Linked DNA regions of Arabidopsis thaliana. The protein of the gene in region 1 interacts with the protein of each later gene in a pairwise test. Each region holds a gene or a part of one and is shown in the gene's direction. Other genes may lie near its edges. The genes, in order: WNK3, SULTR1;2, AT1G04360 and AT4G13530.

Region 1 (5,416 bases):
ACATCATGTTGTAAAAAAAAAAAAACATTACACAATAAAACATCATAAATCTGAATTGGTATCATTCAAAAGTGTGTTTCCTCACCATGACAATTGCCTTTATGCTAACACGGTTGATTTCAAACCCGACGGTCTTATCTCTTTGAATAGCGAGCAATACATCCACAAAATCAGTCATATCTCTGTTTCCATCGACATGATCTTGCACAACTCTCTCAAAGAACTTATCAACATCGTTTGCCGTCTTTTCTAGTTGACAGTCTAAACCGCGGATCCAATCAATCCACGCAAGCCAAGGTACATAACTCCCCACACTAAACGTCCCCAATAGTTTATTTAGTCTCTCCATTAACTCCTTAAAATCCGTTTCACCACCGTATTTCCGTCCCAAAGCAACTTTACATATCACATCGTTAGTTAAACTCACCAAGATCTTGCTTAGATTTACCGGCAAAGAAATCGATTTCCTGATCTTTTCCATCATCAGACTGATCTCTTCTTCTCTCACTTCTCGAAAGGATCGTACCATTTTGTTGCTGAATAGATGGAGGACGCACACACTTTTCATTTGCCTCCAGTACTCTCCATAAGGAGCTGAGGCCACATCATGCTTATCGTAAAGAAGTTTCTCGAAGATTTTTGACCGTGGCCGGCTTGCGAAAACACGGTCATGCGTCTTCAAAACGTCTCTAGCCAATTCAGCTGAAGATACTACAAGAACGGGGACACGGCCAAAGTGAAGAAGCATAAGAGGACCGTACCGGTGGCTGAGAGAGCATAGTGATCGGTGAGGGTGGCGGCCGAGTTGATGAAGGTTTCCGATCAACGGTAGTCCCGGTGGTGACGGAAGTGTGTTTCTTTTCTTCCCTCTCTTCTGTTTTCTGAAAATTATGATGGTAACTACAAAGATTATTGAGCATAACAGAAAGAACATGATCATCATGTCTGGATTCTTCAAGTACATCAAAACGTGTTCTTGTGAAGAGTTTTTATTTGTGGTTTTTTTGGACTTACATATACAAGCCAAGTTTCTTCACGGTAGTACTAGTACGTAATTACTGTCCACTCAATCTTTTGGACTTATGTATTTATGCATGCACCAGTCTTTTAATGTTTAGTTCTTCGAGATTTTTCCTTGTGAAAGTCATTTGGTGCGTTTACGATTTATGTCTTATTTTGGTCGTGTCACCGTTCTAGTCTTTCGGTGCTTCCACGATGTGTCTTACCACCATACAATACAAGTGCCTAGGATAATGGTCTCAGGCTGCCGTCAGCTCTAAGGATTTATATACTCTGGGCCCAATGGGCCTTACAAAAATTTGATGATCATTGTATATAATCGGTTTTTAAACGGCTGAACCGCCAATTCATACTCATCAAAAATACAACGACAACATTGTTCAACAAACAATTCTCCATGAAAATTTAAATGTCCTAATTCGTCTCAAACATTCTGTCTCCAATATGTAAAACATTTATATTTTGAGATATAAGTAGAAGTAATAGATTATAACAAATGATCATAACATTAGTGTAGTGATTTGTGTCAGTACAAGTTTCTATTTAAAGTGTAACAACATTGAATATTTATGTTTCACCAAAAACTATGACTATTATTCTATTAATCCTGAGAGAGAGAGCAAAACCCTTTAGTGAAAAGTTTCCTTAAGTTTAAAAGAACTGAAGCTGAAGTCCAAATTGTTGTTTACACACAGTAAAATCGAATTCGTTACCATGACAAGCGGGTTCAATGGCTAAACATTTTGTAATTTACCAAACCCATTATTCGATTTGTAGGATAGTCAATTATAGGGTTCTTAGTCAGCTAAAACAGTGACTTAAGAGTTAAGAAGGGGAAAAAAAAAGTCCGAATATTTTATATTCACAACACCATGAAGTTGACTGAATAAGCAAAATAATTGATTAGAGTAACATGACAATAAATGAGAAGAAAATCAAATAAAAAACCAGATCCATGGCGCGAAAAAAGCAACGACCCACACCTTTGCCACGTGGTCTTGTCCAGTGGATCTGAGTGTCCTAAATTCGAAGATGAGAAAGAGAGAGAGTGTACAACATTCTACAGTCGACACCATTATGATCAGCAGCTGGAAAAGCTTAAGCTTGGTTTTAATGGCACAAAATCTAAATAATCGATTTATACACAAAAAGACAGCTAAGTAATGATTATTATTATTATCAGAAACTGCTTCAAAACTTGTTCTTCCTTGACTAAATTTCTCTCTTCTCTCAAGAACTCCTATCATCTGTTTTGAATTGCAAGTAACCAAGAATGCGACAAGACGAGAATAACTCCGAGGAAGAATTCGTTGAGATTGATCCCACTGGTCGCTATGGCCGGGTCTGTTCTTCTTTACTTGATTTTAGTGTTACCTTTTTCTCAATTCTAATGTTTTTGTTTCTCATGTTTTCAGTATAAAGAAGTTCTAGGCAAAGGAGCTTTCAAAGAAGTGTATCCTTTTTCTTAGATCTCTGTTATTACTACAGAGACAAATCAGATTAGATTCGGACAAGACACAGTCACTAAAGGGTTTCTTTGATCAGAGAGTTCTTCAGATACAGAGCATTTGACCAACTTGAAGGAATCGAAGTGGCTTGGAACCAAGTTAAGTTAGATGATAAATTCTGTAGCTCAGAGGATTTAGATCGTCTTTACTCTGAAGTTCACTTACTCAAAACCCTTAAACACAAAAGCATCATCAAATTCTACACTTCTTGGATCGATCACCAACACATGACTATCAATCTCATCACCGAAGTCTTCACTTCCGGAAATCTTAGACAGTCAGATTCCTCTCTCAGAAGTCAAATCAAATCTTTTTTATTTGATCAATATTATTCATGTTTGACAAACCCTTATAGGTACCGGAAGAAACATAAGTGTGTTGATCTAAGAGCATTGAAGAAATGGTCAAGGCAGATCTTAGAAGGGCTTGTTTATCTACATAGCCATGATCCTCCTGTGATCCATAGAGATCTTAAATGTGATAACATTTTCATTAATGGGAACCAAGGTGAGGTCAAAATTGGAGATCTAGGGCTAGCCGCGATTCTGCACCGCGCTCGCTCTGCTCATAGCGTCATCGGTGAGATCTTTAATCTTGTTCTCAAACGAAAAAGTTTCTCCATTGTGAAACTATAATTTTGTGTTTGAAATTGTTTAAGGAACTCCTGAATTTATGGCGCCGGAACTCTATGAAGAGGACTATAATGTACTTGTCGATATCTACGCGTTTGGAATGTGTTTGCTTGAGCTGGTAACTTTTGAATACCCGTATTCCGAATGCACAAATGCTGCTCAGATTTATAGGAAAGTTACATCGGTAAGTGATCATATTCCCATCTCATATCCAATCAAGAATGACTTTTTCCATATTGTCGATCCATTTTTCTCAATGCTTCTTAGGGAATCAAACCAGCCGCTCTTTTAAATGTGACTGATCCGCAAGTGAGAGCATTCATAGAGAAGTGTATCGCAAAGGTCTCGCAACGCTTGTCAGCCAAGGAACTACTTGATGATCCTTTTCTGAAATGCTACAAGGAAAATACCGAAAACGTCAGCTCTCACAAAGGTAATATCAGATTATGGTATTTCATTTCATCTCAATATGAAGTGTCATGGACTCCTTTCTTAAAAGTTAAAATCAATAATAGTAACATAAGATAGTTTCTATATTTTTTCTATGTGAAATTTTCTAACACCAAGTTCAATAACATTGTCACAGAAAATGGTTACAACGGAAACGGAATCGTGGATAAACTCTCGGATTCTGAGGTAGGCTTATTAACCGTAGAAGGCCAACGTAAAGACCTCAACACAATCTTCCTAAAACTACGTATCACCGATTCCAAAGGTTCAAAATCTTTTTTGCTTTTTTTATTACAAATCTTCAGATCATTACTAAATCTTCTTTTGACACAATAATAACATTTTTTATACAGGTCAAATCCGCAATATCCACTTCCCATTTAACATAGAGACAGACACATCTTTCTCAGTCGCCATCGAAATGGTCGAAGAACTAGACTTAACCGATGATCAAGACATCTCAACGATAGCTAAAATGATCGACACAGAGATACATTCACACATCCCCGATTGGACCCCTTCTCGACTTATCGGTGATGATTCAGCGGTACAAAAATGTTTGTCTTCTCCAGAGACGCTCCATTTAGATAGATTTCCTTCAGGGAGAAAATTCTGGTCCTCTCCTAAAGCTGGAGCTGGAGACTCACGTTCACCGTTTGCGCCACGGTCTAATTCTAAGTTGTCGTCAGCACAAGGACCGATCAATCAAGAAGTTGGGGTTATAGTAGAGAAACTTGAGTCTTTGTTGAGGAAACAGAGAGAGGAGATTGAAGAGATGCAGAGAGATCAAGAACGTATTGTTACTGAGTTCTTAAAAGAGTTTCCTCCTGAGATTTGTGAAGAGGCTTTGGTGAGATTGCAAGTTAAAGATTCTGATAACTTATTGTGTTAGTACGTTTTTTACATTACACACTCTCGTCAAGATTAATTTGGTTTGCAATATTATGTTGTACTAAAGGTAAGTAAATGTGTAACAAAATTGTGACAGTTATGATTGAAGGAAAACTATTTGTCAAATAATATTTCTTGAATTAGTTAGGTGAAGACGTAACTAGCTCAGAAGAGTCTGGGAGAAGAAAAGAACGCGGTGATGATAGGTCACATCACTGTGTTCTTATTCACTTGATTCTTCTGAGCTAGCCTCGTCCTCTTCACCCAACTCTTATGAACCTTACTCGTCTTCACTGGACTCACTTGCAGAGACTCTAATAAGGTTGTCTTATGATCTATGCTCGCCTCTCATAATCTTAGAAGAAGATATAGAGCGGTTCATATTTTGTTCTCTCTCGCCTATTAGGTTTAATGGGTACTGGTGTTTCTTAAATAGCGTATGCCTCAAGATAATATATTAGGGTTTCATAGATAATAAACCTAATCACCAAAACATTTGGCATAAATGGGCTAAAAGCCCAAAATTTCATAAAACTACCTTAAAACATCTTTATAGGAAAGAAAGCGTTTCAGGGAGTAAGCAAATATAAGCATATGGCAGCGTCAAGGACTCAAGGGATCCAATCAAAACTACAAAGAGCAAATAAATAATCAAAACAAAAACTGAAATAAACTAAATTCTCATACTTGTTCAGGAATTGGTTTCTGATCCGTCGAAGCATGCACTCCCTTGCTCTGCCATGAAGAAAACATTTTTCCGATCAATTCTAGGGCACCGAGAAAAGCCCTCAATTTTCATAAGAACTAAAATCGAAAAGTAATTTAAGTTAAATTGTTCTTGTTGGTAAGCGATTCCGGGACTGGACCCAAATATCTGGCATAAATGGGCTTAAAAGCCCAAGCCAGAATAAACCA
Region 2 (7,821 bases), on another chromosome or scaffold:
GTGCCTTCAGAACTTTATTTATAAAATATAGTTATAGATTATTCTATAGAATCATGAGTTAACAAATACTAAAAACATGTGAATAAAGTTGGTTTAGATCCGAACAAAACATAACATTTCTAAGAATTTTGGTTGCTGCGTTTAAATTTAGTCATAAAGACCACTTCACATTATTTTACCTCTATAAAATACTTTAAATTAAAACTTCTTTTTGTCCCTTAACAAAAATTTAAAAATAAAATAAGAAACTACTTTTTGTCAGCGTTTGCGATGGCAAACTTATGATGTAGTATATGTTTTGATATTTTACATGCAAATGTTACATTACTTGGTACTTGATGTCGAACAACCAATCAAAATAATTTTTATAAACTTTATTCATCGGTACAAAACGATAAACTATTTAATAAATAAAAAAATCTTTATAGACGAGAGTTCTAACCAACCAAGCTAACATACTCATACGTACATAATATTGTTTTTGTCAAACATAATCGTGACTAATTTACAGATTGAAATGCATATACTATGATTAAAATTCATGTATAGAAACTGAACGGTTGACTAGATAAATATATTACCCATTTTTAGGCGGCACCTGAAAATTTTTAGTCGATTATATGCCCCCGACAAATTTGAAACGTTTGGTCTCTCATAATATAAGAAACCGATCGATTATTTTATTTTTCTGGTTGGTACGGATTTGTTCTTTTCGCAATTTCTAACATGGTTATCACAATTCTTAATCATCTTCGTTGAATGCTTCGTAGGATGTTATAGAACATTATTAATACCGGTATATATAAATAATCTTAAGTATGGTTATTTTTAAATAGAATGCATTTTTTTAATATGATCTAAAATAGCGTACAATATCTAAATATATTTATGTAAAATTGCTATAAAATAATGGTTTATAATGTCAAACGAAGATGACTAAGAATTAGCTAAGAATAAACATGCAAACGATTATGATAAATTAGTTTATCTGTATAAAATCAGCAAGTATTGTCGTTTCGAAAACTTATGGGTCAGGAGGTTCTACAATTACGAAATCTCTTTTAGTCTTAGTAATATTTATTGGTAAGTCTCACATGCAAAGCTCTACTATATACCAAACAAAACAAGCAAAAGTTTTAAAAGAAACGTTTAGATTCCTCTGTAGTCTGTGACCCAAAATTGTATATCGTTTAATGCAATAAACGTAATTAAGCTCTCGTATACTTCAAATGCCCAAATATCATTTCAAGTCAGCCTAAAACTATACCAAATTTTGAAGTTCGACCCTAAACGTATATATTTAAAAACTCAATTTCAATTTTTCACATCGTAGAAAGTTTGTGTAGCTAGAGAAACATGTTAATATATATAGTTTCGAATTCATCGGATATATATTTAAGTGTAGTTGGTCCTACATCCCAATATCCCATGATGTTTTTTTGGTAGTTCGGTTTCTCAAGTTGGTTGGTACTTGGTTCGGTTTCTCAACTTGGCCCATGATATGAAGCATATAATATGCATACATACATCTACATTTTCTTTTTTAAAGTGTTACATTCACAAATTTACAAATCGAAACTTGTTATAATATGCATACATATGCAAAACATAATGTGTTACCGACTTCAATCGTGGGTACGTATTTTTGAGATTGATGATAACGTATAATACATATCTAAACAGATTATAACAGCTGTTTAGGACATTCAGTTTAATACCCAAAAAAAAAAAAAAGAAACAACGACAAAATAGTTGACGAATATACATTTAAAAAAAAAAAATTATAGTAAGATAGTGTGTGGCTGGCCGTGAACCAACATGGAGAACAAATAGCTCGTAGCCACCAAAGCACTATCTAGCGCGTAGCGAACACGTAGTCAATGGCTAATTGTACCAAAGACGAACCTAGCCACATTATAGTCCACGTTCAAACGAGGCCCACCAGTTTCTATAAAAGTCAACTTCACCCCCCAAAAAAAACGCTCCTAACTTTTGACCTTTTCGCTTTTCTTGATTTGGAGCCAGTGGCATTGTCGTAAAATCATTTGATCTAACCGCTTTGATGTTCTTGCTTAGTTTCCATTACTTCTGTCATTATCACCTTTATATTTTTTTCTCCTAAAAAAGCCAAATATTCGTAATCACGATCTTTATCTCTTATAATTTAATGTTTATTCCAATTTAAAACATTAAATTTATAAAAGCTCAGATCTATATTTCTTTTTCCCCTCACTTTTGTTAAATAATTTTTTTTATCTCTTGTTTATCTTTCTTGAATTTTTTTCCAGTTTGAAGCAAAATCTATTTTCTCTGTAAATTTTGTACTTTTCTCACAAAATACTAGGGTTTTCGTTTTGTATTTTGATGAGAGAGTGATTCAGTGAACCGGGACATGATTCAGGTTTACTGATTTTACTGTTTTAAAACTTTAGAAAAGAATAGTGAACATGAACAATCTGGTGTTCTAAAATCTAAAAAGGGGAGGCTTTTAACTAATATCTCTCGTGTACTTTTTCTCTAATTCTTAAATCGTTCTCTCTTTTCTGTTTCTACTTTTTAAGATCCCTTTTCGCTTTAATAAATTAAAATAAATCACGTAAAAGGTCTAATTTGGAGGAAAAAGGCTAAAAAGCGAGATCGAATTCTTCTTCTTCTTTTTCCAGGTAAGTGGGTGTTTCACCTTCCAACTATCAATGGCTATGCATAACACCAATTAATTTATTTTGAAACCTCTCATTTATAGAATACACGTGCATATAATGTTTAATCATCTTCTTCTTTTTTGGTGAAAATAGTATAATACTAGTTGATTCCTTTTTCAATTGTGTTTTTGTCTATGTGTATAGATATCAGATTAATCACCCAATTTTATAACTGGCAATTATACAATAATGAATAGAACTAGGAAAATGTTGAAGAGGTATCGTCTGGTGTAGGAGTTTACGATTACAGCGTCTCTTCGATCGGTAGAATATTAATTAACTCACTATCAATCATGCATACTTGTCTACATTACAAAGTCAACACATGTGGTGCTCACTTTGGCTCCAGCAAAAACTGATTACAATATTTGTGTTTTAAAGTATATAAAAATTAGTCAGAAAAGAGAATCGTATTATTTTTTATAGCTTTTTGTGATCGAAATTGGCTTATGTGACAGAAAAACGCCGGTTAATTCCTTAGAAAAACTTAGGTTGAAAATGAATTGCGGCTAGTTTTTATAATAATCATGTCATTGTCCATCAACTTGCACAAGTTAAAGCTTTTGTCTAAAAAATGGGTGATTTAAAATGTTGGTTTAATGCATTCTAATGAACAAGTCAATATGCTGGTATTGACAGAACATCTACATAGAGTTTGGACAAGAGATCAAGTCCCAATTAGAACCACCAAAAAAGAACATATGAATTAGGTTTTATATAATAGCCTTTTAGGTATTCTTTCCAAATTTCTGTTCAGTTAGGTTTGTTTTCTAAGTTTTCTTAAGTCCTTTTCTAAAGTTTATGTCCAACCCAAAACGATGATAAAAAAATCCAGAAATCAAATGTTAATTAATAAGGTTCTCTTCGTCTACTCTTAGCTAAAATTAAATTATTTTATAAAAAAAAAAACGAAAGGATATGATTAACGTTAGTTCTTCCTCGTTTATTGAGGGATAACTGTTGCATTTTTAAAAAATCTCACTATGTGCCACGTGGCTATTCTGGTCAACTATCTCTCCTTATAGCAAAAAAGTAAACGAGATCATTGAATTGAGATTGTTTTCAGTATTGCACACAAAGTTTGCCACAGAAACCATTGACTTAATTTGTTTAAACTTTAATGTCGATCAACGCCAATTAAAAATTGCATCTTTTCTAGTTAGACTTTTTTCAATGTTCTTAATGTACTTGGTCTCTTAGTAATCCAGATTCATCAAATTGTATATGACCACCACTCTCTTATCATTAAATTAAAACAAAACTATCCTAAACTTTCGTTATAAATAAGCTTCATCAATGTTGCTCCAAAATTCACACTTAAAAGTCATCTTTCAACCCAATTATCTCTATCCTTTCTCCTGGTTCGATACCATTACTCCATCCACACAATTTATATAATCTCAAAAACTTGCAAAGTAAAGTACTAATCTAAGTAGTCTCCTGTTCTGTTTGCAGAGTTACATAGCTATGTCGTCAAGAGCTCACCCTGTGGACGGAAGTCCGGCGACGGACGGTGGACATGTTCCGATGAAACCTTCACCCACTCGGCATAAAGTTGGAATCCCACCAAAGCAAAACATGTTCAAGGATTTCATGTACACATTCAAAGAAACTTTCTTTCATGATGATCCTCTTAGGGATTTTAAGGATCAGCCTAAGTCTAAGCAGTTTATGCTCGGTCTCCAATCCGTCTTCCCGGTCTTCGATTGGGGACGTAACTACACTTTCAAGAAGTTCCGAGGTGATCTCATCTCCGGTTTAACCATTGCAAGTCTCTGCATTCCTCAGGTGAAAAACCTAAACTCAAGTACTTGTATCACAAGTTATCTGTACTTGCTTGTTTCTTATGTATATTCCTTGATGATTTCAGGATATTGGATACGCTAAGTTGGCGAATCTTGATCCCAAATACGGTTTATGTAAGTTTGATTTTGACATGCTCACACTTGATTGACCTCATTTGATAAAACATTGGATACTCAAAATATGTTTCTTGATGTTACAGATTCGAGTTTTGTTCCTCCATTGGTGTATGCTTGTATGGGAAGTTCTAGGGATATAGCAATAGGACCTGTCGCTGTGGTTTCGCTGTTGCTAGGCACATTGCTTCGAGCTGAGATTGATCCAAACACAAGTCCAGATGAATATCTCCGCCTTGCCTTCACTGCTACGTTTTTCGCCGGTATAACCGAAGCAGCCCTTGGATTCTTCAGGTAAAAAATTGATCTCTTATCTATTAACAATTTCTTCCTTCTTTCATGGTTGAAAAGGCTCTCAAAATGTTCATCTTCTTCCTTACTACTCTCAGATTAGGATTCTTGATCGATTTCCTTTCCCACGCGGCTGTGGTTGGCTTCATGGGCGGCGCAGCCATCACTATCGCTCTTCAGCAGCTTAAAGGCTTCCTCGGGATCAAGAAATTCACCAAGAAAACTGATATTATTTCTGTTCTTGAATCCGTTTTCAAAGCAGCTCATCACGGCGTAAGAACCCTTTACGCTGATACAAACACTTTGTTTCTTGATTCCTCCATTGGGTAAATCTCTTTACTAATTCATATAAATTTGGCTATGCAGTGGAATTGGCAGACTATACTCATTGGTGCATCATTCTTGACCTTCCTTCTCACGTCTAAGATCATTGTAAGACATATATCTATTAACAAAACATCTAAGTTTATTCTTTGTTTAGATCTGTTTCTGACCTCTCTTGACTTGATGCTGAAACAGGGGAAGAAGAGCAAGAAACTATTCTGGGTACCAGCTATTGCGCCATTGATATCAGTTATCGTTTCCACCTTCTTTGTCTACATAACCCGAGCCGACAAACAAGGAGTCCAAATCGTAAGATCTCAACTCCCTCTAACTAGTTTCTTGCGTTTCAAACAATTTGTCGTTGTGGTAATACCTAATATGATTCTTTTTTCTTTTCTTTTTTATGAATAAAGGTGAAACACCTTGACCAAGGAATCAACCCTTCCTCGTTCCATCTAATCTACTTCACTGGTGATAACCTTGCTAAGGGCATCCGCATCGGTGTAGTCGCTGGCATGGTCGCTTTAACAGTAAGTACAAACCAATGACTCATACTTCAATCTCTCTTAAACGAAAGTTCCTCATTGAAACCCGAATATTTCAATCTGTTTTCGCAGGAAGCTGTAGCGATTGGAAGAACCTTTGCTGCAATGAAAGACTACCAAATCGACGGTAACAAAGAGATGGTAGCATTAGGTATGATGAACGTAGTTGGATCGATGTCTTCTTGCTACGTAGCTACCGGATCTTTCTCAAGATCAGCTGTCAATTTCATGGCTGGATGTCAAACAGCGGTTTCAAACATCATAATGTCAATTGTTGTTCTCTTGACATTGCTCTTCCTTACTCCTCTCTTCAAGTACACTCCAAACGCCATCCTCGCAGCTATCATCATCAACGCTGTGATTCCTTTGATCGATATCCAAGCTGCTATTTTGATCTTCAAGGTTGATAAGCTCGATTTCATCGCCTGTATTGGAGCATTCTTTGGCGTCATCTTTGTTTCTGTTGAGATCGGACTTCTTATTGCCGTAAGTCTCAAGAAAACTAAACCCTCTATATATAGCTGCAATAATGATGAATCTAATTCACTTCTAATCTTAATTTGCTAATGTTTGTATGTGTACAGGTCTCGATCTCGTTTGCTAAGATCCTCTTGCAAGTAACAAGACCTAGAACTGCAGTTCTCGGAAATATTCCAAGAACTTCGGTTTACAGAAATATTCAACAGTATCCTGAAGCCACTATGGTTCCAGGGGTTCTTACTATTCGTGTTGACTCCGCCATTTACTTCTCCAACTCAAATTATGTTAGAGAAAGGTAAAAACCCTATACAAAAGTTTAATATTAACCAAGATCTGTTACTTGGTTGACAAGAAATTTAAATCGAAAACCCTTTTTCATTTACAGGATCCAGAGATGGCTACATGAGGAAGAAGAAAAGGTAAAAGCAGCAAGCCTACCTAGGATTCAGTTTCTCATCATCGAAATGTCACGTAAGTTAAACTTCACTCCCAATTTCTATATATATATTCCTTCTTAATTTTTTTCTCATAACACAAAGATTAACGAACACCATTATTTTTCAGCTGTTACGGACATCGATACAAGTGGTATTCACGCATTAGAAGACTTATACAAGTCTCTCCAGAAAAGAGACATTCAGGTACATACATATATACACACATACTGAATTCTTTAAGGATTATAATCTAAGCACTCAAAGTGAATTAGTTGAAGAAGATTTACCTGACTCTGTGTTTTGTGATGATAAACAGTTGATTCTGGCGAATCCTGGACCGTTGGTGATAGGCAAGCTACACTTGTCGCACTTTGCCGACATGTTAGGACAAGACAATATCTATCTAACGGTGGCTGATGCCGTCGAGGCTTGCTGTCCAAAACTCTCCAACGAGGTCTGAAATTTACAAGAAAGAAGAAGAAGAAGAAAATGAAGATAATGACGAAGAAGAAGAAAGATATGCTCTTTTAAATGTTGTAACAGTAGAGTTAAGAAAGTGATTGTATTTCTTTGGACCCTTTCTTTATGATTCTTCTATCACACCAAGGGGTCAAGTGTAAAGTTGACTACTTTTTATAAATTAAGATTTTTCTATGAAATCAAGTTTAAAACCCCAAAATGTATCCAATGTAGAGATCTATATATCTCTGGAAATAGATTGGTTAAACCAAATGGGAACTCAATAATGTGACAAGTTGGAGTTTAAAATGCATTGATATTTTTAGTAGATTAGATATGATCTTTATCCATATGTTGAAAAATGAAAAGATGATCCTATCCTTAGAGCACTAAATCAATTTGATATGAACGTGGACCAAAAACAAAGCAAGATTCATTTATGAGTGGAGTAACACTGTAGCTTCCTTTTTCTCTTAACTTGTCTACTAGCGCAATGCACTGCGATTTTACAAGTCCTTTTTAGTTATTGGGCTTTATCGGATAAAAGCCCAAACCATGTTTATTCACAATGACCCATTTCTTTGTGAAAAACTAAAAACGCTGCGTTTTGATTTTATCTCTTCGTCGGCGTTATCCCTGAGTTTAGGTTGCAGTGTCAATGGTG
Region 3 (4,266 bases), on another chromosome or scaffold:
AAAACAAAGAAAATTATAGAGATCGAGTTCATATCTCGGAGCGACGTGTATCGATGATGGTCTGACGCACACACGTGACCGACCAAGCATCACGTGCTGCTGAATGCTGATCCATCTCACCGTTGCTGTGTTGACCTGAGTCGTCGACGTGGCGCATGATGATGATCCTCAGGACCTCATTCTTAAAAGAGTAGTCTATAGTCAAAGTCAATTGTTAATGCGGAAACAAAATTCTACTATATTAATGAGATGCCTAGATTTCTTTTTTCATATTAGTTTTGAATTGTACAAATAATTGGATTCTAGTAAAATCCTCCCAAAATTGAACCAAAAGCTTTCACAGCTGTTGTCAGTCCATGTGAAAACTACTGATGAGTTGTTTTTCACAAGTTTCATGAATCAACTGTTTTTAATGGTGATTTAAGAAAGTTTAAATTTAAGTAATACAATGTCACTAAGTTCTATATGAAATATTCTTCTGCTGCTCTGCCCTGGTTGTAGTATTTGTTTATTTGTAATTACTGCCGAAGCATCAATTGTGATTTTGTCGATTTTTAGGTTTAACTGATGCAACACTTCAACAAAAAAAAAAATTAAAAAAATTTGTAAACATGGATCTGAATCTAATTTTGTCGATTTGTGATTTCTCCCACTATATTTTTTTTTTCTTTTGACAATCGTGATTACGGATTTTCATCGGGAGCCACTTATGAATATTAGTTGTTTGGATAAAAATAAAAATAATGCAAAAACAACAAATTACTTTCCACTAAGGGTTGTCTCCGTCGTGGGCACGTTTTCGTTTTTATTATGTTAGGACAAAACTAAGAACGCCATAAGTCGATGTGTATTTATATATCTTTTTGTGTTAAAGATGTGTATTTATACATCCTCTAACGTATTATAGAACATAAGTCCATCTAAAATTCGATTATATACACTTTGATGATAAATAATACACAAATACGTACACCCAAAATTACTCAAACAACTAACAAAAATAGTCACAATTGTTTTGCTAAAGACAATACATTATTGATAAGAGAAAAAGGTTCAAATATAAAACGAAACTATACTTCTCACCGGACCTATTATTATGTTCTATTCTGTCGTGAGCCAAACTCGTCAAACATAAATACACGATAGAGACTAGTGAGTATGGAAACATTGTCCTTCTTTATCATTTTTTATTTCTGTTTACCAGTTGTTGTTTTGTTTTTTGTTTTTTTTAACATCTCATCTCATTTCTTATATATTTAAACTAATAAAAGATGAAAACCAAAACGAAAACTTTGAACTATTTCTGCGGTGGATTTGACTTTTCTTTTATTTCTATTTTGACGGGATTAGACAGAGAAAGGATAAGTCTTACTAACCTTGTGTCTTTTTCGGGGATCTTTCTTGGACCGTTTCGAATCATAACTAGATCTTCGATATCTATCATATTATCTATTTTGAACCATAGTTTAGAGCAAATTACTTGCAGATATTCTTCTGAATAAGATAAATTTATTACATTTTCAAAGGATCCTTCACAAAATATATAGTCTGTCTAAACATATCAATTTAATTAACCGACAAGTGTGGTTAGCTGGAGTTCACAGATTCTAATTATTGAAAAATGACCACTATACTGTATTAGCGAATCCAATTATATCATCATTATACTACATACGACTTTAATATAAACGTAATCTACATGGACAAACAAAACTTTCACTATCATCAGAAGATCCAACTCAAAATGTCAATTAAATTACTCCACTTGAATATAAGTAAGCTTTTCCTTATTGTTTTCCTCACCATAAGTACTACAAAAAATGTTTAAATAAAAAGAAAACTCTTACACCAAACAAGTCACATAGATCGAGGAAAAAAAAAAAACTCCTAAAAGATTCAGCAAAATGATAACCTAAATGATGAAAAAAACAAAGTAAGATGATAACCTAAATAAATAAATGAGTCATATAAGAAAGAGCCTCTGAAATCTCACCAACTCTTTCTCTCTCTCTTTCATTTCATTACTTCATCTCTGTTTTTCTTCTCTACCACTATCTCTTCTACTATTCTGATCTTTCTCTTACACACGCAATTACGTATATATAAACACTTTCAGAGTAGGGAGGAAAAAGATTCAATAGAAAATAATTACTTGATTTCTTGATTTTTTTTTTCGTTTTCTACTGAATATTTCCCTTCAAATCCTAGAGGGAGCTTTTCATTTAGATTGTTTTGTAGTCAAATGGATCTAACAGACCGTCGTAACCCTTTTAACAATCTTGTTTTTCCGCCGCCGCCTCCGCCGCCATCCACGACCTTCACAAGCCCTATATTCCCACGAACAAGCTCTTCCGGCACCAATTTCCCCATTCTGGCCATCGCAGTGATTGGAATCTTAGCCACTGCGTTCTTACTTGTAAGTTACTACATCTTCGTGATCAAATGCTGTCTTAATTGGCACCAAATCGACATCTTTCGCCGCCGCAGACGAAGCAGTGACCAAAACCCTCTAATGATTTACTCTCCTCATGAGGTAAACAGAGGACTAGACGAATCCGCCATTAGAGCTATCCCAGTCTTCAAATTCAAGAAGAGAGACGTTGTTGCAGGAGAAGAAGATCAGAGTAAGAACTCTCAAGAATGCTCTGTTTGTTTAAACGAGTTTCAAGAAGACGAGAAGCTAAGGATTATTCCTAACTGCTGCCACGTGTTTCACATTGATTGCATTGATATCTGGCTTCAGGGCAACGCAAATTGTCCCTTGTGCAGAACCAGCGTTTCTTGCGAAGCAAGTTTCACTCTTGACCTAATCTCTGCACCGAGCTCTCCTCGGGAGAATAGCCCTCATTCTCGGAACAGGAATCTCGAACCCGGCCTGGTTCTAGGAGGCGATGATGACTTCGTCGTCATAGAGCTTGGGGCCAGTAATGGTAACAACAGAGAAAGCGTGAGAAACATAGACTTCCTTACGGAGCAAGAAAGGGTTACCTCGAATGAGGTCTCGACCGGAAACAGCCCGAAATCGGTGAGTCCTTTGCCTATAAAGTTTGGTAATCGGGGAATGTATAAGAAAGAAAGGAAATTTCACAAAGTGACGAGTATGGGAGACGAATGTATCGATACTAGAGGCAAAGATGGTCATTTTGGTGAAATTCAGCCCATAAGAAGATCGATCTCGATGGATTCATCAGTGGATCGTCAGCTGTACTTGGCGGTCCAAGAGGAAATCAGCCGGAGAAACAGGCAGATTCCGGTAGCTGGAGACGGTGAAGATAGTAGCAGTAGTGGTGGTGGTAATAGCAGAGTCATGAAGAGATGTTTCTTCTCTTTTGGAAGTAGTAGAACTTCAAAAAGTTCTTCAATATTACCTGTTTATTTGGAACCCTAATTCTGTATTTTCCTCTTCTTGATTCATTGTTCAAAAAAATTATTTTTTGTATTTGTTATTTGCTGAGGTGAATTTAAAAAAAAATATTTTGGAAGGTGAAGTAGGAGAGAAAGATATATAGTGTACATGTTTCTTCTTTGTCAAATACACATGTTCAATGTTTACAAGTCATAGGAGTAGATGAGTTACTTGAATAGTAATTACAGAAGTTTCTGAAAATTGAATAAATAGTGTTTTTCACTAAACGAGTTACACGAAAACAAATCCCAACAAAGAACTGCAGGGAAAAAAAAAAAAGGAAACAAAGAACTAACCTGTGAGGCCCAAACGGCTTAAACACATAAAGGCCCAAATGCATAAAAGCATAAAGGCCCAAATAAATCTTTGTCGCCGCAGACTCGCCTTTAAGGTCCGTATCAAATCGGACAGAGGAGGAACTGAGCATGACGACTTTCCGGCGTAGGAATTAGTAAATCCTAAAATCGGTTTCTGCAATCAAACCGGCGTGGATCCTCAGACCGTGAAGATAGTATTGATCAGTTTTCTGCGAGCTAAGTACCGAATGGTTGCAGGTTTGCCTTGGTTGGCTACAACAAGCAATCTTTGATCGGTTTTGTTTGGTTCAATAACATTTGCTACTGGTTTAGTTTGGTTACTGATTATACTTTAGCTTGTATATAATTCTTTCTTTTGGTATTGCTAGTTTCAATTTAGTCAAGAAACTGTGATTGACAAGATGCTGATCAAGTTTGAACCTTTATTCCCAATTTAAAGCATTCACTAAAATTATACACACACACACACACACACCTTTCTTTGTTGTTTTTGTTTTTGGTACAAAGGAAATGGTTTACTTATTTGTCAAGATCTGACAATTG
Region 4 (5,506 bases), on another chromosome or scaffold:
TTCAGCTAAAAATCACTACGAAAAATGAACGATTAAAATTAACATGGGCCACATCAATTGGGCCTAAGAAGATAAAGATGGGCCACAACATTTAGGCCTAAAAGAAAATGACCTCAACATCAAAACTTCGACAGTCAGTCACTGTAACATTTTAGATCTTTCCCGAAGAAGAAAACGAAGAAGAGACGAAGAGAGAAATGAGGCCGATGCAGCTGGATATGTTATCGGAGATGGATGATGCAGGTTCTTCGATGGCCATGGACGTTGATGACCTCGAAGCCATGGAGATACTCAACGAAGGAGGACTTGTCTCAGATAACAAGCTCGCCGACGCCGATTTCTTCAACAAATTCGATGATGATTTCGATGACACCGATATCAACTAAATCCGGTTAAGTTTCCTCTTTAAGATTTCAGTTTTTTTTCCTAAACTTGATGTAATTTGTGGAGAAACCTATGTAGTAAGTGTGTAATAAGTTCTGGGATTTTTATGTTTGTGGTATGTAACAATGTTTTTCTTCATTTGGATTACTAAAACATTTGATTTGTGTGTTATTGTGCTTTGTCTGATTGTTTTTTTTGGCTCAAATTTAGAATGTTTTTTTTTTCCTTGGTTCTGGAGATGATGATGTTTTTTGGAGATTGAAACCTAATTTTCTTTAGTGTTTTGGTATTTTAGTAACTGAAAATTAGAGTCTTTGTATGTGAAGAATGTTGTGAATTTGTATGTGAAGAATGTGAAAGTTATTGATATTGGCTTAAGATAGAAACTAATTGATTCATTTGGTACCATATTCCATTGTGATTGCTTGTAATTTCAACATCTGAGGTCTCTGAAATATGTGTTGATGTGTTTCATTGTGTTGATATTCATGTGACTCACCGGGTCTAGAGAAACTTCCCGGTGAGAGATGAAATCCTCATGTAAGCTGTAACTTTCCACTAGTGATTAAGTGAACTAGGGAACTCATACTGAAGCACATATTCCTACCAACAATTTAATGGCCTAAGAGAAATAGTCTCTTGTATCTTCCATGTAACTCAGATACATCAGTCAATGATTTATATGGATATGGTATCTTGTTCCATGTTGATTTCTTGTAAATTCACCATCTCGTGGTCTCTGAATGTGTGTTGTATTGTGGTATGTGGGAGGGGGTGTATAATTCCTGTCTTGTGGTATGTAGGAGGGGGTGTATAATTCCCCTGGCCAAGTTCTGTTGTTGCATCGTGTCATATTATATTCTCTGGGCCGGTTTTGAGATGGAAATAATGTGCTTGATGTTCAACTATGGTAGAAAGGAAAAGGAGGCTAAGCATAAAGATGTCACTTGTCACTTTGTCAGTCCCTAGCAGTCTTTGTTACTTGCCTTATAGTCGTATGTATGTAGTGTAGCCAAATTTCATGAGATTTCAACATTCGATAGCAATTCATTAGATATCGGTAACCTCTTTTCAGAATCTCTTACTAATAAAAAAAAAGTTATTTGAGGCCTCTCACACTACCCACCTCAGCCTTTTAACAAATGTGTTCTCAAGTTGCCACGTCATCAACTCTCTCAAAAACTCCCAAATCTCTGCAAGCCACCATCCATGAGCCTCTTAACTTTCTTCTCCTCCCTACCTCAACCTTTATAAAATCTCCACATCTTGGTTTAATGACTAAACTCTAAAATTTTGAGTTATAAAAAAGAATGTTTGTTAAACTATGATATTAACGCTAAACATTTATTGAAAAAAAAGTTGGGTTTCGATTAATATTAAATATTTCCTATGTTTCTTAGCAAAAATAAATAAATATTTTCTCTGTTTTTTTTGTTTGATTGTTAGAAAAAAACACACAAAAGTAAATATATTAAAGTTGATTTTAAATATATTATATTTTGTGTTTTACAATTTTCTATCACTTTAAACCAATAAAATTTAATTATTTTTATTAAAGTTTACAATTCATTAATAAAAACTAATAAATATTACATAAAAATTTTAAAAAATCAATTTTTTTGAAACAATTTTTTTTTTCTTCAAAATCAACAAAATAGAACCGAAGGAATATGAATTACGCGGATTACAATTAAATTATCAATTCATCGATCACCTAATTTGAACGAGAAAAAACAAGTAAAAAAACGAAAAGTAAAATAGTAAAAAGTAAAAATACATTCTATTGGATTTGGTTCGGTATCAATAAATTATGATGTTCTTCACAAAATGCATTTATATGACGTGTTTGCTTCCTCTCCCTCCAGTTTCAAGTTGAGCATATCTGATTAGCAAAAGCGGTTGAAGGTCCTCTACTTCTCGGCCCACCGTAACAACATACACTGTCAATCCATATAGTTATCATAAACCCACACGTCAACGAAACCACTCTTTTGACTTCATCCTCTATCCAATCACACCACGCCACGTTAACACCACGACCTAGTGTTTCTGTGATCTCCACACAGAGAAAGAAGCGTTTCGGTTCTGTTTTCGCCCCAACACAAAGACTCCTTTTGTTTCTTTTCCTCAATTGGATCGAAAAAACCCCTAACTTTGACATGGAAGGAGAGATTCAAGACTGGGAAATACTTCAGAGCTCGAGATCTACCACGGAAGATGACAATTCGAGGAGCTTGGAGGAGATTGATGATGGCACGCAAGGTATGATTAGGTTTGATCATTTCTCTCTTGAGAACCAGAGTGGTTTGTCTCGTTTGGAGGCAAACGATGAAGATGGGTCTGTTCAATCGGGTAGTCCAGGATGGATCGAACCTAGCTCCGATGTTCCTTATGGTCCGAAGCATTTTAGTGAGTTATGGTCTGATTCAAGCAGTGATCGGCTTGATGATCAGAGGTTAGTGGATGATGATGTGAATAACGAGATGGGTATAGAGAGAAACGAAGTGGGTATTGTTGAATATAGTGAAAGTATAGCTCAAGACATGGATTTGATAAGCTCTGATGAGAGAAAGGAAGAATCTTTACTTCATCCAGTGGAAGGAGAAGGAAACTCTGTTTCTATTGATCCTGGTGTTAAATCTGGTGGTGGAGGAGGAGAAGAGAAAGGGTTTGTGTGGTGGAAAATTCCAATAGAGGTGTTGAAGTATTGTGTGTTGAAAATTAATCCTATTTGGTCTTTGTCCATGGCTGCAGCATTTGTGGGTTTTGTTATGTTAGGGCGTAGATTGTACAATATGAAGAAGAAGACTCGTTCCTTGCAGCTTAAGGTTCTTTTGGATGATAAGGTAACTAGCTTGGTTTATTTGATTGTTTATTGTTCTTTGAGTATGTTGATTCATGAGTCATGTGGTTACTGTATGATCTTTTGGTGTGATATGAGCTCTGCTTAGTTCAACTTTTACTGCTTAGTTAGATGTTTTATTAGTGTCAATTGTTGTTTTGATGGGGAAAATGAGAAGATCAGATCATCCCCTTGTTTGTCCTGGGACCAGTTTCTTGTTGCTAAGTAGTTTAGATGCAACCAGCGACTCGAGGTCATAGTATTCACCAACAGGCATACACTCGTACCCATTTACACTATCTTGCTAAGGGTTTTTGATATAGCACCACTGCATCGGTTGAGTTCTTGATAGATACTTTTGGCATAGAATGTGTAGTTGGTGAGAGCAGTGTTAATAGTCGTTAGAATACCACCTGGGTGATCTATTTCTTTGTCCGTCCTCTCTGTTGTTTCATCTCCTATAATGCTTAAACAACATATTTTTTATTTTTACATTTTGAGTTTGCATGTTCTTTCTAATAGCTAAAGGATAGTTGAAAGATCTTTAGACTAGTTTTCAGTAGTTATTCTTTGTAGATTTTTCATGTTGGTAGCCAGAGATGGAAGTTACTATATATTACGAATCTTATCGTAAAATGTTTCTTTGAGGAATGGATAAAAGTAGTGGTAAAACCTGAAAGTTTAGTTTAACTGATCTTCCACTGGTACAAAGCCTCAGTAAGGACCCAAGTTTGAATCCTGCTTACGGTTGCATATAACTTGGCGGATCAAATATGTCTTTTGCTGCTGAAATTCACGTTCTTGCTTGACTTGTATTCATCTTTTTCACTCATGGCAATGAAGAACAAAAGTTCTAAGTATTTCAGAACACAATTCGGAAGATTTTTACACCATCTGATTCTTGTATTGTCTGTCTTTTGAATGAAATACTTTTTTCAGAAGGTGGCGAATCATGCTGCTCGGTGGAACGAAGCAATCTCGGTAGTGAAACGTGTGCCCATAATCCGGCCAGCACTTCCGTCATCAGTGGGTATGAACCAGTGGTCCATGATGAGTTTAAGGTGAAAATTAAGTGAATTTGAGGGCATAATAATGCATATATGTGAGATTATATGATTTGATGTGGTTGGTGCATGTATCATATGATTGTATTAAAAATGTTACAAAAACATACAAAAAGATGCTTGTAAGTTTGTACTGTGTGTGTATATATTGTTACTTGCTTGGTGGAATACAAATTGGATCAGAATCATAGTGCAGTTTTGGAAGGTTGCGGTCAGAATCTAACCTTGATAAGCTTCTGAGCTGGTCTTAGTAGGCAGTGTCGTAAAGAGATTGTACAAAGACAAAAGCCAATAACGGAATTTTGGTTGTTTATTTAGAAAGTACGACTCTTTAAGATATGAAAAGGGTTAAGACAAAAACCCAAATTAACAGGGAAGTTCACGTGAAGAGGGCAATGTTTCTGATTGATGTAGCCATGTAGGAGTCTATCTTTCACTTTATAGCTATCCTAAACTCTACGATGTCAATTGTGATTAGATATATGTCTCTTCTTCTTGTTTCTTTGTCTTCTTTCACTCTATTATTCGTTGACCATTGTACCACCAAAGTTTGGTATACTCACTTATCATACTTAAATCACAAGTGAGTATTGTAAGGAACTAAGGATCCAAAGCTAAAGCATACTCATGAAGTTTAACTATTGACGTTTAACGGAAATAAAGCAAACCAAAATTCGAACTTCAAGATAAATCTACCCATTGTCTTCACGTAACATACTCAAATTTTGGTTTGCTATGTTTGATTCGGTCTATAAAAACACAGACAATAACTTAAGACCTATGTAACAATTTCCTCCATGAGAAGAAGACAAATTAGACCAAAAGTTTGAGAGAAACCTATAAAACCTACAAATATTGGGAAGAAAAAATAGGAGTAAATAGGTATGGGTCCATGTTAATGATGCATGTGACAAACAATCAAAGCCCACACCATTAATTGGAGATTGAAGAAAAAACACTGCTTTTCATATTCTGTAACACCACTTCAATTCCTTTTTCTCTTGTTTCCTATTCAGTACTATGTCCTGAGAGTGCCCATAACTTCTTTTGTCTTTTTATCTCAGTTTCCATAAGAAATAATCAACTCAAGCCACAATGTGTGTTTGTGTGATTAGTTTTGTGATAAGACATTCCATAATTTTCCTATTGTGTGTTTAGGATAAGTGAAGATGCTTTTGGTTTGGACCATATTATATAAATAACATGTGTCTGCAAT

What was found.
Region 2: the proteins of WNK3 (region 1) and SULTR1;2 interact in a protein complementation assay, tested with the Arabidopsis thaliana proteins (one large-scale study listed by BioGRID).
Region 3: the proteins of WNK3 (region 1) and AT1G04360 interact in a protein complementation assay, tested with the Arabidopsis thaliana proteins (one large-scale study listed by BioGRID).
Region 4: the proteins of WNK3 (region 1) and AT4G13530 interact in a protein complementation assay, tested with the Arabidopsis thaliana proteins (one large-scale study listed by BioGRID).

Annotation. Positions count from the first base shown.
Region 1 is NC_003074.8:17,872,098-17,877,513, reverse strand, and holds WNK3 (with no lysine (K) kinase 3), read left to right. Parts: upstream 1-1,983; 5' UTR 1,984-2,293; coding exon 2,294-2,362; intron 2,363-2,435; coding exon 2,436-2,473; exon of another isoform or gene 2,474-2,577; coding exon 2,578-2,805; intron 2,806-2,883; coding exon 2,884-3,107; intron 3,108-3,186; coding exon 3,187-3,344; intron 3,345-3,427; coding exon 3,428-3,593; intron 3,594-3,746; coding exon 3,747-3,875; intron 3,876-3,963; coding exon 3,964-4,502; 3' UTR 4,503-4,694; downstream 4,695-5,416. Other genes in the region: CYP71A26 (cytochrome P450, family 71, subfamily A, polypeptide 26), read right to left, coding at 86-943. UniProt on the Arabidopsis thaliana protein: May regulate flowering time by modulating the photoperiod pathway.
Region 2 is NC_003070.9:29,325,720-29,333,540, forward strand, and holds SULTR1;2 (sulfate transporter 1;2), read left to right. Parts: upstream 1-1,795; 5' UTR 1,796-2,663; intron 2,664-3,609; exon of another isoform or gene 3,610-4,157; 5' UTR 4,158-4,169; coding exon 4,170-4,490; intron 4,491-4,505; exon of another isoform or gene 4,506-4,572; coding exon 4,573-4,621; intron 4,622-4,707; coding exon 4,708-4,915; intron 4,916-5,010; coding exon 5,011-5,185; intron 5,186-5,278; coding exon 5,279-5,344; intron 5,345-5,431; coding exon 5,432-5,545; intron 5,546-5,649; coding exon 5,650-5,766; intron 5,767-5,853; coding exon 5,854-6,267; coding exon of another isoform or gene 6,268-6,348; exon of another isoform or gene 6,349-6,365; coding exon 6,366-6,556; exon of another isoform or gene 6,557-6,646; coding exon 6,647-6,732; coding exon of another isoform or gene 6,733-6,779; exon of another isoform or gene 6,780-6,825; coding exon 6,826-6,902; coding exon of another isoform or gene 6,903-6,929; exon of another isoform or gene 6,930-7,014; coding exon 7,015-7,158; 3' UTR 7,159-7,501; downstream 7,502-7,821. Other genes in the region: AT1G78010 (tRNA modification GTPase), read left to right, coding at 7,816-7,821. UniProt on the Arabidopsis thaliana protein: High-affinity H(+)/sulfate cotransporter that mediates the uptake of the environmental sulfate by plant roots. Plays a central role in the regulation of sulfate assimilation. Unable to transport molybdate.
Region 3 is NC_003070.9:1,166,629-1,170,894, reverse strand, and holds AT1G04360 (RING/U-box superfamily protein), read left to right. Parts: upstream 1-1,860; 5' UTR 1,861-2,242; coding exon 2,243-3,388; 3' UTR 3,389-3,607; downstream 3,608-4,266.
Region 4 is NC_003075.7:7,864,265-7,869,770, forward strand, and holds AT4G13530 (uncharacterized protein), read left to right. Parts: upstream 1-2,063; 5' UTR 2,064-2,543; coding exon 2,544-3,230; intron 3,231-4,165; coding exon 4,166-4,291; 3' UTR 4,292-4,912; downstream 4,913-5,506. Other genes in the region: SMAP1 (small acidic protein 1), read left to right, coding at 198-386.